Canis lupus familiaris: one gene and its partners. The protein of the gene in region 1 interacts with the protein of each later gene in a biochemical or structural test. Links are inferred from orthologs where the notes say so. Each region holds a gene or a part of one and is shown on either strand. Other genes may lie near its edges. The genes, in order: SMURF1, PLEKHO1, AXIN1 and SMAD5.

Region 1 (5,218 bases):
TCCTGTTAAAATACCACAAAGACATCCATTAAAGTTAAGTTCTTTGAATTATAAAGACTCAAATATTCTTTTACTGCAGAGGCCAGGCCTCCAAAGCAGCTCCACATACCACCCAATCATTTCCAAAAACCAAAAGGGTTCCATAGAGAAAAAGCTATAGCATAATCAACACCACAAAATTAAGGCTTCGCATACATCAAACACAAGTGCTGTGTTTTAACAGAAATCTCTGAATATCAGCATTGAGACTTAATAACAGACAGCATTAGTACCCAGCATAATGTGGAATAAGTAGGTACCCAAAATGAGAAAGAGAATCAAAGGTTGTTACAATAAAGTTGAAATCTCATCTTATATGAAGAAACGGAGGCCCAGCAAGGTTACCTAATTTGTTCCATATCATGCAGTTTACGGGAGATTTGCCCAAAATCACGTCTCTTAATTTTAAATCCAATGCTCTCCTCACCACCAAATACAACTGTGGACCTCAAATTTTAAAGGCTGTTTTATACTCCAGTGTCTTCAGATGTTGCCTGGAATTATACTCTGTGTGATATTAATTACTGGTTAGAATGCCCCTTGTTTTTTAAAAAAAAAATTTTTTCAAATATCACGCATAGAATTAAACTCTAAATCTTGTAACAAGAGTATACAACTTTTGAAAGATGGCTACCCAATATGCCAGAAAAGAAGAGATTTTCAAACTGCCCTGGACAACCTTAAAGATGATGCCAAAACCTACTCTACACCAAAACATCTGAGGTTCCAGCACCTCAACATAAATTAACATTCAACAGACAACAGACATGGATCTGCCATCACCACTAAAAATCCTGTTGCAGGGATGACCACACTCACACATCATCCCAATCACTAACACCAACAGGGATGAAGGGAAAGGGAGCTTTGGAAATAACACTCATCACTTGATCCTTCAGTATCAAATGCCATCCAAAACTCTTCAAAGCATTTCTGTATCTTTGGCATGTAAATTTCTGAATCCAAAAATAATTTGGGAGGACAAACCAAGCCCTCCCTTTTTCAAGGGAAAGGCTCAGACCTGCCAACTTGGTTTGATATATAAATGTGTATATGATACAAACATTGTAATGAGAACCTATTCCTTCTGAAACATTAATCACATTTCTACCAAAACTCATGAAATCAGTTATTTCTGCTTTTAACAAGAAAAATGAAACCAATCTGATGTCAATTACAGATTACACTGTAAATTAGAATCCAATTAAAGTTGTCAGTAATTAAAGTTTTACAAGCATTACAAAGTCAAAAACATGTCTTTCATGTAACCATAAAAATAACAATGCTTTATACTGTATCTACATAGTGAGAAGCATTTCCTCCTGGCCCTGGAACAGAGTATGTTCCTCCAGAAGCAAAGATCCCTGGGACAGATGGCTGTTACTTCACACAACCAGGGTCTGGATTTGGGTCCAAATCATTACCTGGCCGCCTTATCTTGTAACCTAATCTGACATCTTTCTACAAAAAAAAAAAAAAAAAAAAAAAAAAATTACAACACTTTTCTTGAGAAAAATGTGAGTCACGCAACAGCTCCGTACTTTCAAAGGAAACTTTCGTTTGAAAACGATCGCCATTGTTATTTTCATGGATTTTACCGAAATTAGGGCTACGCATCTGCCACAAAGTGTCCAAAACTCTCATTTGCTCTCTGAAAGCATCCGACCGAACTCTGACTCTGGGGTCCTCACCAGACTGGCCATCCAACAGAAAAATCCAAGGGAAAGCCCCCCGACAGGAACTAGCCTGAACTTTGTATTTCCCTTCCAGGGCTGGAAATACTCGAGTCCGGAAAGTCCCCTGGCAGACGCGTGTCTGCGGCCCTACGATCCGGCCTAAGGTGTGAATCTGAACGGGGAGGCGAGGCCGCAGCTCCGTGGCCCCGAGGGCCGGGGAAGGGGCCGCCGGCGAGGGGCGCATCCACCCGCGGCCGAACCACCGCGTCGCCGGCCGCAGCCGAGCTTCGCGCTCACCCTGGAAGGTGGCACTACAGAGCCTCCGAGGAGACGCGGGCACTTCATTGAGGACTCGGTGAGAGTGAATCGAGGAGCCGGCGTTCGTGCAGCTGCCACAGCCTCCAGTGGGGGGCGGGGGACCCTCAGCCCCACTCAGGGCTCTAGGATGGGGGGGCAGTGCTGGGAAAGTGCAATGGGGGAAGTACCGGGGCAGCACGGCAGGCAGCCGACAGTGGCCTGGCCCGAGGCACAGAGGAAGTGGGCCAGACTCAAGAGGTCTGGAGCAGCGGGGAAGTGAAGAGAACAGGACCGGGACACGCCACACCACAGGACTGAGGAATTCGAGGCTGAAGGAAAGGGTGGAGGCGGCGAGACCCAGCGAGGGGGCGGGGCTGCGAGATAAGCAGGGGCGGGGCCTAGGGGGAAAGGGAGCGAGCCCCGCCGAGGAGAATAAAGGGGCGGGGCCGGGAGGGGAGAAGCCGGACGGGGGGTAGGTGGGGGCGGGGGGAGTAAGAACCGGGAGGGTAGCGGGGCGAAGCGCCGGGTACCGCGGAGAAGAGGCCGCCGAGCCAGAGAGGATGGGGAGGTGGGGAGAAGCGAGGGGCGGGGCCGAGAGCGAGGGGCGGGGCCGGGAGGGAGAGCGAGGAGGCAGGTGAGGGGAGAGCGGGGAAAGCGAGGGGGAGGAAGGGGGCTGAGCGGCGGGGGGCGGGGCCACGAGGGGGGCGAGAGGGGAGAGCCCGCGGCCGGGTGGGGGCCGCGAGCAGGGAGGCGACGGGGCAGGTGGGGGGGGCAGGAGGGGAGCGGGAGGGCCGCGGTGGGGGGGGAAGGTGGGGGGTGAGGAGCGAGGGGGCGGGGCCGGCAGCCGCGAGGGGGCGGGGCCGGGAGCGCGGAGCGAGGGGCACTCGCCGAGGGGGGTGACGAGGTCCTGGGACAACGGCCGGCGTGGGGGAGGGCCACTCCACCGGGGCGCTCTGCGGGGAATTCCGGGGCTGCTGGGGGCCCGTGCGGGGCGCCAGCGGGCGCCGGTGGGGTGTGCGGGGGGAGGCGGGTGGGCCTCCCGCCGGCCGTACCTGTCAGACGGATCTTAATGCTGGAGCCGTTCCTGCGCGTCCCGGGGTTCGACATCTCCCGCCAACGATCGGGCAGCCGCGGATCCAGCGCCGCCGCCCCCCGGCCCGGCCCGGCCCGGCCCCGCCGCCGCCGCCTCAAGGTTACGGCTCCGGGCTGGGCGCCGGGGTCCGAGCCGGGACACAAACTCCGCGGCCCAGGCGTCCGGGCGGCGGGAGGATGGTCGAGCCGGGGGATCGGCGCTCGACCCGGCGCCCCCGACCCTCGCCCGCTCCCAGCCGAGCCCAGTCCAGAGCCGCCGCTGCCTCCGCCGCCGCCGCCACCGCCACCACCACCTCCTCCTCCTCCTCCTCAGAGCCGGACGCCCGCCGCCCTCGCCGCTTCCGCCGCCGCCGCCGCCGCCTCCCGGAGCCGCGCGCGCTCCCGCCGCCGTGCCGGCCCGGCCCTGCGCGTGCCCGCGCCGTGCGCCCCCGCGCCTGCGTGCGTGCGCGCACCCGAGAGCACGCCGGGGCGGGGCGGGGCTACGTCGCAGGCCTGGCTAGGGGCGCGCGGGGTCTGGAACCAGTGGCGGGGCCTGCCCACGTCCTCCCCCCGGGAGCCGGGCGAAGGAGCTCGGGGCCTGGGAGCGGAGCTCGCCCTGGAGGCCGGGGGAAGGCGAAGCTAGGGTGCGGGGCCACATGTGGGCCCTCGAACCGCCACCCTCAGTCTTCGCCACATTGTCCAAGGGAACAGGTTTGCAGATGCGGACCGAATTGATTTTCCGGGTGTCTCTCCAGCCTCCGGGGCGCCCGCCCCCCCCACATAGATATTGGAAGGAGGATTACGTGAACCCGTAGCCTGTTACGACACACCAAGCACCTTGCACAAATAGGTACCACTTTTTCTTTTTTTTTTTTTTGAGTAGAGCTTTCAGAGAATGCAGTTTCAATGGAGAGACTTCTCAAAGACACAAAAGTCCCCTACGTGTGTTCTGTGCAAGGTAGTGCGCTCTGTTGACCCGTTACACTTGCCAGAATCGCTGGAAGTGCCATATATGGACAAGGTAAACAAGATGGGAGAGAGGGATAAAGTTGAGTAGATGTTTGTTATGATCCAATCTGCATACAATCCAAACCAACAAAGGCAGCTTTACGGCCTTGGTTTCCCCGCCTTCTGCTAACACATCCCTCCCAGGATTGCAGAGTTGAACTAAAAACTAACATTTTCCCTCCTCCCAGAGTTGCAGGGTAGAGCTAAGAGCTCATTAGGCTTTCTCCAGCAAACAAACTCCTCTCTTTGTTAACCTGTAATGGAGAGGAAATAACTGTTACTAAAGAAGAAAAGCTGGGCTTGTTTACCAAAGTTGTTTTTGACCAACTACCTAATTCTTGGAAAGCCTTTATTTGGTTTGTATCTTAAGGAGCCAAGCTCCGAGCCCTTGAGCCACCCGCTTCAGTCAGACTTTCCTGGGGTCACAACCTTCTAAATAGATCCCTCTAGGGCCCCTAGACATGCCTTACCCCCTTGCCCCGCCTCAGGCTGAACCCAGTGGAAGCTGAGTGTCTCTAGACTGGATTCAGAGCTGCCTTGCTGCCTCTTGAGCTTCAGTCATTCAGTCAAATCAAAAGACATGCCCTTGGGTGGCTCATTCAGTTGGGCATCTGGATCTTGATTTTTGGCTCCGGTCATGACCTCAGGGTTGTGAGATCGAGCCTGGTGTCAGGCTCTACACTGGGCATGGAACCTGCTTGAGATCCTGTCTCTCCCTCTGCTCCTCCCCTGGTCTCTCTCTCTCTATCTCTCTCTCTCTCCCTCAAATAAATGTATCTTTAAAAAGAAAATGGGCCAGACCATTTCTTTGGCCCCTTAAAGCTCAGACTTTGAATAATTCTAGTGAAGTATCCAAGAATACAAGCTATGTTTAAGCAACAGAGCAGTAGACCCAGAATCGAGCTGTTACTCTGTAGGCAATTGTCACTAAGAGTGAGTCCCTAGGGTCCAAATAGATCCATTTAGAGTCTCTAACCCCTGCCCCCAAGTGACCGTCATTATTCTTTCAATCCACCTAGTATCTCTTCTCTTCATTTCCGTATTCAAGAAGTCCCTTCTCCCAACCAGACTAAACCTCTCTCTGCTTGCCTGAATGCTGGCCCCTGTTCTGATCCCTAGCTATTCCC
Region 2 (5,250 bases), on another chromosome or scaffold:
GGCAGATCATGAATTGTTTCCCATAAACCATAATCTATTCAAACTATGACTCCAAACCACTCTGATCTGCCTGGCCAGCAGATCATGCAGGCTAATTTTTCCTCCCCAGTATACTGGGACATTCTGCTTCCTCATTTATGAAGATACCTTCGATTTTTACTTCTTTTTAAAGCACTTTTTAAGCAGAAAGTGAGAAACAGAGGCAGTGAGAAGGGGAGAGGTGTGTGTGTGTGTGTGTGTGTGTGTGTGTGTGTTAACAAAGCCTAAACAGTAGACTGGAGTCAGAACACCTGGATTCTAAGCCATTTAGCCAGTAACTTGCTGTGTAAACTTGGACAAGTCAATTGATTTGCCATGCAGTTTACTCATTTTCCAAGTGGGAATAATATTATATACACCTCACAAGGTGGCACTAAAGATTTCAAGAAATGATATACAAGAGCATTTTGAAAGGATAAATTTCTATAATAGGGGAATTAATTACTATAGTAAATGAAAAGAGGTTAAAAGGAGTATTGTTGAATTAGGAAGAAAGGGGGTGTCTGGGAAAGGAGAAAAGCCCCTCTGCCATTTGACAGATGCCAGAAAAAGCCAAGGCCACCCCATTCCTGAAACCACAAAGTTGGGGAATACTCTATCTTGAGACGTCTCCAGAAAAAAGAGTTCTCTTTTCCTGCTCGTGTGCCAGGAATTTGTATTCATTTTGTGGCTATTGCATGTCTATCATATGCCAGGCAATGTGTTTGTTAGCTTATTACTGTTCAATAATTAGCACTGGAAGGTAATACTTGTGTATTTTCATAGGACTTTCACAGGTCATCTCCTGTATTCCGCTAACCTTCCTCGTTGATGGAATCGGCAGTTCATCCCTCACCGTTTAATATGTATGTGGAGGAACAGAGTCCTAAAGAAATTCAGTGACTTGGGGCACCTTGAGTGGCTCAGTCTGTTAAGTGCCCACCTGGACTCTGGGTTTCATCTCAGGTCATGATGCCATGGTCGTAAGATGGAGCCCCACCTGGGCTCTACATTCAGTGTAGAGTCTGCTTTCCCTCTCCCTCTGCTCCTCCCTCTCTCAAATAAATAATATCTAGAAAAGAGAGAGAGAAAGAAAAAGAAATTCAGTGACTTGACCAAAAGCCACAAAGTAGTGATGATGAAACTATTCCCCCAATCTGGGTTTCCTGACTCCCCTCTTCCCGTTAAATATGTACTGGGGAAAAAATGAAGTCACTAAAATGTTGGTCTGCAGGCTGTGAGGCGGATCTGGTGTAGGAGGCATCAGCAGAGGTTCCTCGGGTCAGGGCAACCCCCAGCCATTGTCCCCTTCCCTTCATTGGACTCGAATCAGATGTTTCCATGGATCGGATGTTTCCACCTCCATGCAGCAGGAAGAGACACGCAGGTAAGAGGAAGTTTAAGCCTCACCTGAAGCTTCTCTTTAAAGCCACATGGTCCTCTGGACAAGGCCTCTGGCGACAGAGAAATCCACTCCTGCCAGTACTTACCGTGTGTGTCTGTTTATCTCTCAGCCATCCTGAGTCTCACTTTTCTCTGTGCAATGGAGAGAGCCACTACCCACCTCGTACTTAGGAGGCTCCAAGAAGGCCCGAGGCTTTGTAAATGGGTAGAAACGTGTATTGCCATCAACTCCACGTCCCCCGCGACCCCCTGCACACACCTAAAACTTTTCCCCAACACGACCCACCCAGGCCACTGTCCCTACCACCCGGGGCGTGTGCGCCCCAGATGCCCCCTGTCGGTGAGGCGGGCGCCCTCCCACCTCCCGCTCTTGTTTGCTTGGGAGGGAGCCGGTCTCGATCTAGGGGATCTCGGTCTTCCGCAATCTCTCCCCGCCGTCCGCTCCCGCCGCCTCCGCCGGCCGTCTGGGTCTCGGGCTCCGCCCCCGGCTCCGGCCGCAGGTGCGAGCGCCGGCCCCGCGCCCCCGCCCCCGCCCCCGCCCCCGCCCGGGGGCCGCTCTCCGGCGGGCGTTAGGTCTGTCTCCCTCACCCTCCTCCAGTCGGAGACAAAGGAGGGGGGTGGGGGAGCGCACCGTCTCCGGCTCCGCGATTCGCCCTTTATTCTGAACTCGCAACGTCAGCGGGCCGCGGATGGAGGCGCGGGGCGCGGGCCGGGAGGCGGCGGCGGGGGCGCGCGGGGGCCCGGGCCGCGTGGGCGCCGGCATGGAGGGCGCCGGGGGGCGGGGGGCGGGCGTGCGTGCGAGTGCGAGTGCGAGTGCGAGTGCGAGTGCGAGTGCGAGTGCGAGTGAGGCCGGCCTCTAGTGTAACCGGAGCTACAAAGAAGGGGAGAGTCCGGGCGAGGGAGGGCGGAGCGGCGGCGGCGGCGGCGGCGGGGGCAGCTCCGCGGGCCGGGCCCCTTCCCCGCGCCGCGCCTCCGGGAACGATGAAGAAGAACCATCCCGCCAAGAGGGTGAGTGTGCCCGCCGCGCCCCGGACCCCGGGCGGCCCCTCGAGCTGCTGTGCGCCGCCTCGGGCCGGGGGCTCGCACTTGGCTGACTTTGCTGCTCCCCCCGGCCCCGGCCCGGCCCCGGCGGGAGACAATGAGGAATCCAGCGAGCTGCCTCGGATGCCGGCGCCGCGGGACCGGGGCTGCGGGCGGGGCGGGGGCGGGGGCGGGGGCGGGCGGGCGAGGCCCCCGCGCCCGGGCCGCGGCCGGGACCCGTCGGTCGCGAGGAGGGCGAGGCCGGCGGGGCAGGGGGCCCGGAGTGGCAACCTTCGGGGGCGCGGGCAGCGGACGCCGGGGCGCCGGCAGCGCAGCTCGGGGGGACGGTCGCGGGGACCGCGGGGACCGGGCCGCCGAGGGGGGTCGTGAGGGCCGGCACGACCCGGGCGGATCGCGGCAGCCGCTGACCGGCCTGTGCTGTCGCCCGGGGCAGGGGCTTCAGGATGGCAGCCACCCGTGCGCACCGCCGGAGAAGGTCGGCTGGGTCCGGAAATTCTGCGGGAAGGGGATTTTCAGGGAGATTTGGAAAAACCGTTATGTGGTGCTGAAGGGGGACCAGCTGTACATCTCGGAGAAGGAGGTAGGTGCCCTCCGCCTCCCGCCCCTGGCTCCTCCTGTTCCCGTGCTGTCCCTCCACAGGGGACCTGCCTGCCTCCGCGTCCCCCTGCCCTCGCCCCTCCCCCACTTTGTGCAGAAGCAAGTTCAGCAGTTCAGCTGGTCTCTACCCCTGTCGCATCTGCAGAGAAAGGTCACCCTTTATCCAGAAAACCCGAGTCAGAATTCCAAGTTGAGTGTCCATCTTATTTAATGATTTTTCTCGGCCAACACCTTTCTGACAAGGATGATAACCCCCCTCCCAGGATGTCCCAAAAGTTCTAAGTCCCCTGCTGCCCCCTACTCTATCCTGGCAAGCTAGCTGGAGGTAGGATTTTTTTTTTCTTTGCCAGAGCTGCTGAAAAACTCTATGGGGTTTCTTCTCCACCTCTTCCCGCTCCCCTACCCCAAGCCAGCTAACCTCTTTCCTGTCTCTTAGCCGGGGGCAGGCGCAGGCCATATTGCAAGTACAGCTGCCCCAATCACAGAAAACACATACACAGCCCTGGGTCAGTCTCCTATGGCCTCGGGCAGAGTGTCTGTGAGTGGCAGTTATTTCTGTTGAAGCCAATGATCCTAACCAGTCTGCTTCCCACTCCGTTAAAAGGAGGAGGAGGAGAAGCAAGGAACTCATTCACCACCCTCTTCATAACTTCTCCCATTTGTATCAGAAAGGAGACAAATGGAGTCACCAACCCCTTATCTGTCTCTGGGTAATTAAAATGAAAACCACAGTCTACATTCAGAACCTGAGCCCGGATCGTTGAATCCACACTCTTCTCCCTTTTCTCTCTTATTTCTGGAGATCGGTTAACACTTGAGACACTGACATTGGCCTCCATGAGGTGAAAGACATTCAGTCCCTCCTTCTGAGATGCTGTCAACACTAGCTTGGAGACTGTCCTGTGCTCCCCGGGTGGCACGGCCCCTCCTGCCCCGTGTTCCCTCACCCCAGAGCTAACTGGGAAGTCCACCCTGAGCTCTAACCTCTTCTGCTTTCTGCAGTAGACTATATTGAGGTAAATAAATCCTTTTATGGTATTGAAACAGACACAGACACAGCCCTAGAGAAAGTAATCGTCTCAACAGAACATGTAGCTAGGCAAGTAGGGAAGAACTAAGCCATGCCAGGGCCAGAGCAATCCCTCTTCGGGGTGTTTCGACCTGACTGTTGACGCCAGGCGGGAACTTGGTGATGGTAGGTGGTGAGAGAAGCCTTTGATAGGATTCATTTTTAAGGGCTACCTCTACCCAACCCCAAATCCCGTAGAAGGTTTTCCAATTTTCTGGCTTTCCAATTTAATAATAATAATAATAATAATAATAATAACAACAACAACAAGCAAGTGTCAAAGTGTATCTCCTGTCTTCCCCGAACTTCATAATGGCAGCAAACTCTGGTGAGCAATTGGAGAGAACTTCCCATATGTCAACAGTGAAAGGGTAGAAGGAACAAGAGATCTTTTCTCATTTGTATTTGTCCAGAGAACAGAGTCTGGAGCAAAAGTGTGCTTGCTCCTTGTTTGTGGAGGAAAGGGTACAGAGACTGGGGGAAGGATGAATGACCTCAGCCTCCGAGGCCTGGTGTCCTATGAGTCAGGAGCATCTGACCAGTCATGGGGCCCGCTGCCCCCTGCCGAGAGGGGTGCAGGAGCAGTGGGCACAAGCCTACCCTTACTCCTCTTCTTTGGAGCCCGTCCCCCTGCTCAGGCAGCCCTGGACTAAGGATGAAGCTACTGGAGGACTCTATGCTCTATTCTCTTCGCTTCCCACAAGCTCTAGAGCTAACAGATTCAAGATTTTTTTTAATTTAATTTAATTTTTTTTAAGTTTTTATTTATTTATTCATGAGAGATGCAGGCAAAGGGAGAAGCAGGCTCCCCACAGGGAGCCCAATGCAGGACTCGATCCCAGGACCCAGGGATCACACCCTGAGCTGAAGGCAAATGCTCAACCACTGAGCCGCCCAGGCGTCCCTCAGGATATTTTTTTAATGCAAAGTATGATGTTTGTAATTTATGTAGTAATGCAAGAACATCCCTAACCCATGGGACGCCTGGATGGCTCAGCAGTTGAGCATCTGCCTTTGGCTCAGGGCGTGATCCTGGGGTCCCAGGATCGAGTCCTACATCAGGCTCCCTATGGGGAGCCTGCTTCTCCCTCTGCCTGTGTCTCTGCCTCTCTCTGTGTGTC
Region 3 (5,479 bases), about 30 Mb from region 1:
GGTCTGCTGGGTGAGTCGTCCAGACAGGGGACGTGGGAACGAACGCAGCATCACCAGCCGGGCCTGGCAGGAGCCGAGTGCTGCAGTCCCCTACCTCTGCTGTGGGGCCTCCTAGCCTTGTTCAGGGGAGCCTGTGGCGGCTCTGAGGAGCAGGGACAGCTGGGCTGGGATGACATAGAGCAGTATGAGAAGGTGACAGTCACCCAGGTACCCCCAACAGCGAGCTGATGCCAGAGCTGGCTCGTTAGACACAGGGCCCTGACCTTACGCCCCGGCTGGCCCAGCCTGGCTTTTGGGGGCGAGATCACCTCTGGGGTGTCTGCCCCAGGCAGCTGCAGCTGAAGACGCCAAAGAGCACTACCGATGCAAAGTGCCAGCCTGGATGACACAGCCGCCCCCAGGGCAAGCGGACGGGGATCCCGACAGAGCGGGGACAGGCAGGGGCCTGCCCTGACATGCGGTCCCCCAGGCTGGAGTGTCCATGGGCTGTGCTGGGCACCTTCTCACTGGTCCCGGGACAGTCGGAGCAGCACCATTGTGCCTGGCGTGGGCAGCCGCGTCCTGTCCCAAGGGCCCAGGCATCCAGCTCGCTCCCACAGGGGCCCGCGGGGTGGTGCCCGCTGCATTTTCTCGGGCACAGAGCCTCTTCCTGAATGCATAAAGGAAGTGCTGCAAGCACCCCCGAGTCTGCGCTCCGACAATAACCTATTAGTGCCCTGGAATATGGATGGTCAGCGTTCCCACCCTACAGGCACGAGCTCTGCACCCACAACAGCGGGCACCGAGCACGGGCCGCCTTGGTGCTCGGGCTCATGATCTTGGTGTGACGGCTGTGCATCCATCTGGGGTTTGCCGTGGGGACACAGGCGACACTGGCCCTCCCCCCAGAGCTCAGAACTGAGAGAGGAAAGACACCCAGGATGAAGGGTGGAGCCCGGGCGGCTGGAGCTGTGCCTCCAAGGGGGAGTCCTCACCACCCCCGCTACAACCGTCCACAGCCAGATGAGCCCGCGCCCCCCCCTCCTGCCGGGGCCTCGCCTGCCCTCCCACCGCCACCCCCCACACCTGTTGGGGCAGACCCAGAAGGGGCTAGGCCTGAGACCCCTCCCTCCCTCCAGAGGCCCAAATCCCATGGTCCCTCCTGCACTCCCCTCCCAGGAAGACAATGGGGATGTGCCCCCAGTGTCCCATGTCTGCAGCCTGTTCTCTGCTGCTGGCTTTCATCATCACACATCGGGCCATGCTGGACGCGCCTCAATATACTTGGTGCATCTTAGATGATTTCTTTTTTTTTTTTTTTTCGGATGATTTCTTTGAATCATTTTTTATGAGTGGTGTTCCTCAGCCAAGTGGATGAACACGTGTAAGGCTTCATTTTTTTTTTTTTTAAGATTTTATTTATTTATTCATGAGAGAGAGAGAGAGAAAGAGGCAGAGGCACAGGCAGAGGGAGAAGCAGGCTCCATGCAGGGAACCTGACATAGGACTCAATCCTGGGTCTCCAGGATCACGCCCTGGGCTGAAGGTGGCACTAAACCGCTGAGCCACCCGGGCTGCCCCACATGTAAGGCTTCAAAGCTCGCTTTATTTCTAAGTATTCATTTTATGTCTACGTTGAAGAAAATTATTTCATTTTTGCTTTTAAGTTTTTCATGTAGTTCCTGGAAAGCCGGAACAAATGTCCTCTACGGTTAATCCAATCAAAGCTTCTAGTGGCAAACCCTGGCACCCCCTTCACTGGGGGTGTGTGTGTGAAAAGAGGGTGCTCCATCAAGGAACTCACCTGTTCTGACATGAGGCTCCTGGGGCTCTTTGGTGTCACGTCTGGGTGGCTGACACAGTCCCTGCCAGGTCGCCCCTGCAGCACCGCAGGCCCGGTCTGGCCTTCCCTGGGCTCCCTCCTCTGGTCCACGGCTGCTCTCACCCTGCTCAATCGCCCCTCTGTGCCCACAGTTCTAATCTGCGGTAGCTGGGCTGCTGCATTTCCTCCAGGCCTTCTGACTCCCTTCCTGTCCCTGCAGGGTGGGAGCCCCAAGGAGCCAGGGGCCCGAGGGTCCTGTTCTGGTCCTGGGGCCTGGGGACACCTGCCGCCATGGGCCAGGAGGAGGATGGACGTGGACACAACCCTGGGAGCCTGGCCCGGCCACAGCAGCAGCTCTGCAGAACCAAGGCAAGCACTGGGGACCCGTGTCTGGGAGCGGGGAGGCAACATGAGGGCCAGTGTCTGGGAGCTCTTGCTGTTTGTCCAGCCCACCCAGGACTCCCATACCCCACAGAGACCCCGCTGTGCCCAGAAGGCCACCCACTGTGTCTCGTGGTCTCTAAGACTCCTAGGCTGAACGGAGTGGGGGAGGGGCTGCACTGGGGAGCCTGGGACTGTCCCAGCTGGATGCTGGTGAGAGTGACCCCCACTGTGATCACCCTAGTGGGGCCAGTGTGGGCTTGGTCGCATAGCCCCTCATCTATAGCCCCGACTGCCCCTGGGTGGTCTGGGCCTTCGGTAGGCTGGGGATGCGTCCCTGGTTGTCCTCATCCCTCACTGCCTCCCTTTCCTATGACCCCCTGGGAGAGATGCTGTGCTGAGACTTGAGGCAGGCTGGTGTGTCCCTACACCTGCACACCCCAGACAGGCACCACCCGTGGACATCTGGGTGGGAGGCTGGCTGTGGCCCGTGGAGCCCCAAGCCAGGACTTGTGCACTGGTATGGAGCCTGAAAGATGAGGACGCGCCGGGAGGGCAAACAGGGTCCAGGAGAAGATGTGGTGGCCTGTTGGACGGGGCACGGCCCTGCCCTGGAGACTGCGGGGAGCATCTCTTCAGGTGCAGGCCTCGTGGCTCTGTGGGGCACAGGCCCTAGGTGGTCACGGGGGTGCCAGAAGCAATTCCTGAGGGGCAGTGGTAACCTTTCAGTGCCACATCCTTCCCTTAGGGAAGGGCCCGGGGCGGGTAGACAAGGAGCTGGCCGGCTGTGCTTGCAGGTCGGGCAACAGCTGCTATGGCGACGGTGAAGGGCAGAGGTGGTGGTGCAGGAAGCCCTGCTCCCCAGGCTGCCGCGCCAGTATGACCTAGGGACAGCGTAGGAAGGAAAGCCAGGCGCTCGGCGGCCGGGCAGGGCGGCTCCGCAGCACCCGCACGGGCTCCCGCCACACCGCCGCTCGCCGCCCAGGCCCACCCAGACGCCCGCACCTGGGACCTGGCCCCGCCCACCAGGCGGCCCCGCCCCCTCCCCGCGCCCGCCGCTGCCCCGGGCCCCGCCTCCGCGCCGTCCGTCCCTGCAAGTGCTTGGGCCCGGGGCTCTAGGCCCCGCCCCCGCCCCGGGCTACGTCCCCGTCCTTCTCCCGCCCCCACGTTCCGGCTCCGCCCTACGCTCTCCGCTGCGCCCTGTGTTCGCGGTCCCTCCCCGACGCTCTGGGCCCCGCCTCCTGCTCCCGGATCCCCTCCTCAAGGCTGCCCCGCCCGGTGCTCCGGCCCCGCCCAAGTCCCTGCCCCAAGCCTTCGCCCCGCCCCCCGCTCCGGCTGGTGCGTCCCGTGCCAGTCCCGCCCCACGTATCCGAAACGCTCGCGTCCTGGCCCCGCCCCGAGCCTTTGGCCCCGCCCTACGCTCCGGGCGACCTCACTTCCGGTCTGGATCACGCTTCGGGGCCCCGCCCCCCGCTCCGGGCCCCGCCCCCCGCTCTCGGCCACGCCCCCGCGCTCCGCCCCACATATCGGCCCCGCCCCCCACGCTCGGGGGCCCCGCCCCACGCTCTTGGCCCCACCCCCCACTCTCGGCCTCGCCTCACGCTCTCGGCCTCGCCCCCACTCTCCGGGTCCCGCCCCACATCCTCGGCCCCGCCCCCCGCTCCGGGCCCCGCCCCACGCTCTCGGCCTCTCCCACACGCTCCGGTTCCCGCCCCACGTTCTCGGCCCCGCCCCCACACCCCGGGCCCCGCCCCACGTTCTCGGCCTAGCCCCTACTCCCCAGGCCCCGCCCCACGTCCTCGGCCCCGCCCCCACGCTCCGGGGGCCCCCCCCACGTTCTCGGCCACGCTCCGGGCCCGCCCCCGAGCTCCGGGCTCCGCCCTACGTTCTCGGCCCCCCCCACGTTCTCGGCCCCGCTCCGGGCCCCGCCCCCGCGCTCCGGGCCCCGCCCCACGTCCTCGGCCTCGCCCCCACGCTCCGGGGCCCCGCCCCGCGCTCCGGCCCCGCCCCCGCACTTCCGGGCGGCGCCGGCGGGGGCGCTCCGGCCTGGGCTTCGGCGCTCTGGGCTCGGGCTCCCCGCTCGGGGAAGCGATCGCGGCAGCCGCCGCCGCCGCCGCAGGACCGGCCGGAGTCGGTCCGGAGCCGCGTCTCCCGGTGCAGGCGGGTGAGAGCGGGCGGCCGGCCTCGGCGGCGCCCCCGCGGCCTGCCCCGCGCCCGCCTCCGGGCCGCCGCGCCGCCGCTGCGATGGGGGCCGCCCGGGGCCGCGCCCCCGCCCCGTCCCGCCCGCCGCGCCGCCGCTGAGCGCATGGGCCGCGCCGCGCCGCTCCCGGAGCCGGGCCGGGGCGCCGCCGCCGCCGCCGCCGCCGCGGGTGAGTCGTGCGGGCCGGGCGCGGGCCTGTGGGCCGCCCATTGTAGGCCGCGTAGGCCGGGCGGGCCGGGACCCGGAAGAGGGGCCGGTGGGTGCGGGCTCGGGGCGTGCGGGGCGGCGGCGGGGACGCGCTGCGAGGGCCGGGGCCGGGGCGGGAGCGGTGCGCGGGGGGCGGTGCGCGGGGTCCCGGGGGGTGGGCGTGAGCGGGGCCGCCCGCGGGCCCGGCCGGGATGCGCGTGTGCGCGGGCGCAGGTCCTGGGGCGGCCCCGTGACTCCGGCCCCGCGCGGGGCTCCGAGGCCCGAACCCCGAACCCCGGGCACCGGCTCCGCTCCCCCGAAGCCCCTAGCGCTTCCCCGCAGCTTGGAGCTCGGTGCCCGCGGAGCAGAGCCGCCCGGCCAGGCGGGGAAACTTTCTGCTTAGCGCTGAGGACAGAGGGGGAGCCCCAGTTCCCGGAGGGCCTCCCCGCGCAGGTCTGGGGTGGTTTATGAGGAGCCCCTGCCGCGCATCCCTGCCCCTCCGTTTTGCCCCCGTGCTCACCCTGCTTCTGCACGGAAGCTCTCCGGACACTTGCTTCGAGGCCCTTCTTTGGAGAACACACATGGTCTGAACCTGGACTCGGGTGCTAGCCCTGAGTTTCAGTTTTGAGAACCTGACATTCAGGCAGGAGAATGGACAGGCGCGCAGAGAACGGCGTTGCTGTGGGATTTTCAGGAGGTGTGGACGCTTCTTGAGTTTCTAGAGTCAGAAAAGTAAGTGGAGTCCTTTGGGCTACATTGGTCCTTGAAAATTTAGGAGGTGGAGGAGCAGATCACCTTGTGGAACAGCGGCCCTAAGCTTTTCAGGGTTTAGGTACCGGACAGGACAGCGTCGCAGTCATGCTCTATTGCTTCCAGGCTCCTATAAATCAAAAGTTATGAAGTTAGGTTTT
Region 4 (4,753 bases), on another chromosome or scaffold:
AAATAAAAAGCTGTGTACAGTTAAGGAAACCATCAACAAAAGAAAAGGTGTAGTCTGCTGGATGTGAGAAGATATTTGTAAATGTTATATCTGATAAAGGATAATATCCAAAATAAAAAAGAACTCACATAACTCAACACCAAAAAAAAAAAAAAAAAAAAAAAAAAAAAAACCCAAACCAAACAGTTAAATTAGAAGAATGAGCAGAGAACCTGAATAGACATATTTCCAAAGAAGACATACAGATAGTAAACAGACACATGAAAAAATACTCAACATTACTAATCATCAGGAAAATGCAAATCAAATCACAGTGAGATACCACCTCACATCAGTCTGAATGGCTAGTATTGAAAAGACAAATAACAAGCGTTGACAAGGATATGGAGAAAAGAGAATCCTTGTGTACTGGTTGTGGGAGTGTATATTGGTGCAGCCACTGTAGAAAACAGTGTGCAGATTCCTCAGAAAATTAAAAATAGAAATACCATATTATCCAGTAATTCCATTACTGGGTATTTACCTAAAGAAAGTGAAAACACTATTTTTTTTAAACACTAATTTGAAAAGATACATGTGTGTTTATTGTAGCATTATTTACAGTAGTCGAGATATGGGAGCAATGTCAGTGTCCATCAATAGATAAATGGATAAAGGAGATATATACGCAATATTCCTCAACCATAAAGATGAGATCTTTCCATTTTGCAACAAGATGAATGGACCAAGAAGATGTTATGCTAAGTGAAATAAATCAGACAGAGAAATACAAATACCATATGATTTCATACCTATGTGGAATCCAAAAAACACAGCAAATAAACAAATAAAAAAACCGGAAACAGACTCATAAATGCAGACAACAAACTGGTGGTTGCCAGAGGAGGGTGGTGTATAAAACAGGAAAAGAGGATTAAAGGGTACAGAATTCCAATTATAAAATAAGTTACGGAGGTGAGAAGTATAGTATAGGGGAAAAAAGTATAGTATAGGGAATAATAATAATATTGTTACAGTGTTATATGGTGGCAAATGGTTATTAGACTTACCATTGTGAGCAGTGCATAATGTATAGGAGTATCTGATCACTACCTTGTACACCTGAAACTATTATGGTATTATATGTCAACTAAAATAATAAAAATTTAAAAGTAAAATAAATGTAATATTGCCTGTCTTTATATTTGCATTTAGAAAAGTTTTAAAATCATATTCATGGCCATTTCTTTTTTTAAGTACAGACTCCAAGCCAGGGAGGACAGTGAGAGACTTAAGTGAAATATCTGAAAATATTTTTCATTGAGTGCTTGGATTGGCTTAAAGGGAAACACATAAAGAATCAGGGGTTTCTAATTTATTCATTAATCGTTTTTTTATCTGGTTTGTAAGGGAAACACATAAAGAATCAGGGGTTTCTAATTTACTCAATCGTTTTTTTATCTGGTTTGTAAGGGAAACACATAAAGAATCAGGGGTTTCTAATTTACTCATTAATCGTTTTTTAAATCTGGTTTGTTTACAGACGTTCAGCCTGTTGCCTATGAAGAGCCCAAACATTGGTGTTCAATTGTCTACTATGAATTAAACAATCGTGTTGGGGAGGCTTTTCATGCATCTTCTACTAGTGTGTTAGTAGATGGATTCACAGACCCTTCAAATAATAAAAGTAGATTCTGCTTGGGGTTGTTGTCAAATGTTAATCGTAATTCAACAATTGAGAACACTAGACGACATATTGGAAAAGGTAATTTTGTCATTGCCCTGCGTTCAGTTGAAATCAGTCATTTGCTGTTCTTGCTCTGTACCGTGCGCTGTATAAGGCACTAGAGTGTAATGTGAGCCTGAAGCATGGGCTCTGCTCTCAAGGTGCAGATACCATAGAATGTATTAAGTCAAGACCTCATCAGTCCTCTTTTCCTTATCCTGCTTTGTTTTTCTTTGTTTGGGATCTGAAATCATACGATTTCTTTATTTATTTTTTGAGTGCCTTCTTGACTGGAATACAAGCTTTACAGAAATTTGCCTTGTTCATAGCATTATTTTCAGCAGCTAGAATAGTTCCTGGCTCACAGTAAGTACACAACAAATATTTGTGGAATATATGATTACTGGCATAGGATTAGAATTTTTTAATTATGGTTTTTTGAGAAGAGGTGCCTTGTAAGAACTTCTGTTATGTGGGGAGGAGCTGGGTTATAGGTGGGAAATCCAGTTTGAATGACAAGTCTCTCCACCACTCCTCCTGCCTTTTAAATTCAGGTAACCAGGTTTTATTTATGTTTCATCCAGCAAGACAGTTGCCACAATAAACAAGTAACTTTTCCCACCTCAATGAAATATCAGAGGCTCATGCAAGTGGTCAGAAAGGAAACCTTTCCCAGGTAGAGTGTATTGCCTGTCTTGTAAGTTTAGTTTTTGCCACTCGCTCTGTTCTACTTCTTTCACTTGAGAAAGTCTTAGTCCAAGTTAGAACAAAAGGTCCATAATTATAATTGTCATGTGATTTCTTATAGAAGAGATTCAGCAAAATACTATGGCCAAAAATAAGTTGAAAGGAAGTTTCTGTTCTTTTTTTGACTCTGTTGCCAACTTGGCATTGATTTTTTTTTTTTTTTTTTTTTTTTTTTTGGTGAAATGCCTCACTTCTATGTATTGATTTTCCCACTACGTTAGAATGATTTAAGAGAAATCTACCAGGTGAATTCTAAAATTCTAGAATTTGTTTTCCCATTTTTCCCGGTATCTAATTCTAGGATCCCTTCCTCCATGGGTCATTTTATTTGCTTAGAAACAACAACATACAGTTGTTGGTTTTTTTAAAGATTTTATTTATTTACGAGAGACACAGAGAGAGGCAGAGACCTAGACAGGGAGAAGCAGGCTCTGTGCTGGAAGCCCAATAATAGGACTCAATACCGGAACCCCAGGATCATGCCTTGAACCAAAGGCAGAAGCTCAACTGCTGAGCCACCCAGGTGTCCCAAAACAGTTTTTTGTATCATAGCCTAATACAAGTCTGTGATTCACACGTGTATGAGGTATGTGTATACAAGGATGGCCTTTTTAACACTCTTTGTGGAAGTAAAAAGTTGGAAATAACTTTAGCTATAGAAGTTGAAGTTTTAATATTGAAACTTCACATATTATTTACATATATATATATTTTTAAATACCAAAACCATTCTTTTCAAGGGAAGTAAAATAAATCTGCCGTTTAAAGTCTCTTCTTAAAAAAAATTAAAGTCTCTTCCTGTGACCTGCAATTACATATGTGACTTAGGGCCAAATTTTTAATGCTGCTGTACTCTCCATTAGTTAAAAGAGTGCAAAACACTTTGCCAATTGACTCTGTGATAAATTAACTTAGCACCAAGCGTTCCTTTGAAAGGACTCATCATTTGCGCTTTCTTTGTCTTTTTGCCTTTGCTTTTGCTCCTAGAGATAATAAATGATTGTTGGCAAAGAGAAAAGAACCAAAAAGAAAAGAAAAGAAAAGAACCTAAGAACTGATAAACCTAATAAGCTGCCAACCTTAAGCTTAATTTAAGTCTCAGTTATTTGAGGACCACTGTAGATGGAGGCCATTAACCTCTTGATTATCTTCGGCAGTCTAAGGCCCTCTAGTGGTAGCTTCATATCTACAGACTGTTGGGCCTTTGCTATAGGTTAGTGGGTGTTCTTGGTTGCACCTTCTACAACCTCTTTGGTTTCATTGTATAATGAAACATTTTTTTTTTATTAAAAAAATTTATGATTTTTATTATTTCACCTTTATTAAGGTGAGTCTTGTAATGCTTGTTTTTTTAAGGTGTTCATCTGTACTATGTTGGTGGAGAGGTGTATGCAGAGTGCCTCAGTGACAGCAGCATATTTGTTCAGAGTAGGAACTGCAACTTTCATCATGGCTTTCATCCTACCACGGTCTGTAAGATTCCCAGCAGTTGCAGCCTCAAAATTTTTAACAACCAAGAGTTTGCTCAGCTTCTGGCTCAGTCTGTCAACCATGGGTTTGAGGCAGTGTATGAGCTCACCAAAATGTGTACCATCCGAATGAGTTTTGTCAAGGTGAGTGGGTTATAACCTGTAGCTTAATTTGAGTCACTGTAAATTTGCATATTTCTGTAGGTTATGATTTTAAAATGTCTTCCTGAAATGAAAATCGGTATTTACTTTTGACCTGACTTAATAGGTTTTTAAATGACATTCTTGAATTTATAGCTTCAAAGCCACACAATAGGTCGAAGTTTTAATTTTATAATCCAGATGTTATAAAACACACGATACTGATTTTGATATTGAATAGGGGCTGAGTTTATAAAGAGCTTCAGTTAAAGACTGAATTGCTAGAAAGCATTTAACACTAAAATTGCTTTTGAAGTTCCTTAGCCTCAGCAGTTTCAATTATTATTAGATCCCACTGGAGTGACTTAAAAAATTCTTTAGGAGACTAAAATTATCTTCCTTGCACTTAACCTCTGTTATTAAGGATTTGCAAAGTTGAAAGAACTTTTCAAATTTATCATTTGCTCTTGGGCTTATTTTACTGGCCTTCCAAGGGTGATGGCTTATGAGTAAAATTAGGAAAGAATTTTAGTGATGCATAAAAGCATCCTGTACTCTATCCAATTGGTCCTTAAGGATTTAGCCAAAGAAAACCAACTGTGAAATGCTCTAAGCGGGATTTTTCTTTTTGGTATTCAGACCCACAGTTCAGTGTTGCCTTGCTGCTTTGCTGTAAGTCTGTTCTGTGCAT

Evidence for each region.
Region 2: the proteins of SMURF1 (region 1) and PLEKHO1 form a complex in vitro, tested with the Homo sapiens proteins (4 studies listed by BioGRID and IntAct). The link is inferred for Canis lupus familiaris from reciprocal best matches to the Homo sapiens genes SMURF1 and PLEKHO1.
Region 3: of the proteins of SMURF1 (region 1) and AXIN1, one has a biochemical effect on the other in vitro, tested with the Homo sapiens proteins (2 studies listed by BioGRID, with this or other methods). The link is inferred for Canis lupus familiaris from reciprocal best matches to the Homo sapiens genes SMURF1 and AXIN1.
Region 4: of the proteins of SMURF1 (region 1) and SMAD5, one has a biochemical effect on the other in vitro, tested with the Homo sapiens proteins (3 studies listed by BioGRID, with this or other methods). The link is inferred for Canis lupus familiaris from reciprocal best matches to the Homo sapiens genes SMURF1 and SMAD5.

Annotation. Positions count from the first base shown.
Region 1 is NC_049227.1:10,465,031-10,470,248, reverse strand, and holds the start of SMURF1 (E3 ubiquitin-protein ligase SMURF1), read right to left. Parts: upstream 3,357-5,218; 5' UTR 3,120-3,356; coding exon 3,065-3,119; intron 2,581-3,064; exon of another isoform or gene 2,504-2,580; intron 1-2,503. UniProt on the Homo sapiens protein: E3 ubiquitin-protein ligase that acts as a negative regulator of BMP signaling pathway. Mediates ubiquitination and degradation of SMAD1 and SMAD5, 2 receptor-regulated SMADs specific for the BMP pathway.
Region 2 is NC_049238.1:60,057,486-60,062,735, forward strand, and holds the start of PLEKHO1 (pleckstrin homology domain-containing family O member 1), read left to right. Parts: upstream 1-1,971; 5' UTR 1,972-2,403; coding exon 2,404-2,430; intron 2,431-2,896; coding exon 2,897-3,043; intron 3,044-5,250. UniProt on the Homo sapiens protein: Plays a role in the regulation of the actin cytoskeleton through its interactions with actin capping protein (CP).
Region 3 is NC_049227.1:40,623,578-40,629,056, forward strand, and holds the start of AXIN1 (axin-1), read left to right. Parts: upstream 1-2,021; 5' UTR 2,022-2,170; intron 2,171-4,494; exon of another isoform or gene 4,495-4,551; intron 4,552-4,954; exon of another isoform or gene 4,955-5,300; intron 5,301-5,479. UniProt on the Homo sapiens protein: Component of the beta-catenin destruction complex required for regulating CTNNB1 levels through phosphorylation and ubiquitination, and modulating Wnt-signaling.
Region 4 is NC_049232.1:24,090,632-24,095,384, forward strand, and holds part of SMAD5 (mothers against decapentaplegic homolog 5), read left to right. Parts: intron 1-1,522; coding exon 1,523-1,744; intron 1,745-3,808; coding exon 3,809-4,065; intron 4,066-4,753. UniProt on the Homo sapiens protein: Transcriptional regulator that plays a role in various cellular processes including embryonic development, cell differentiation, angiogenesis and tissue homeostasis.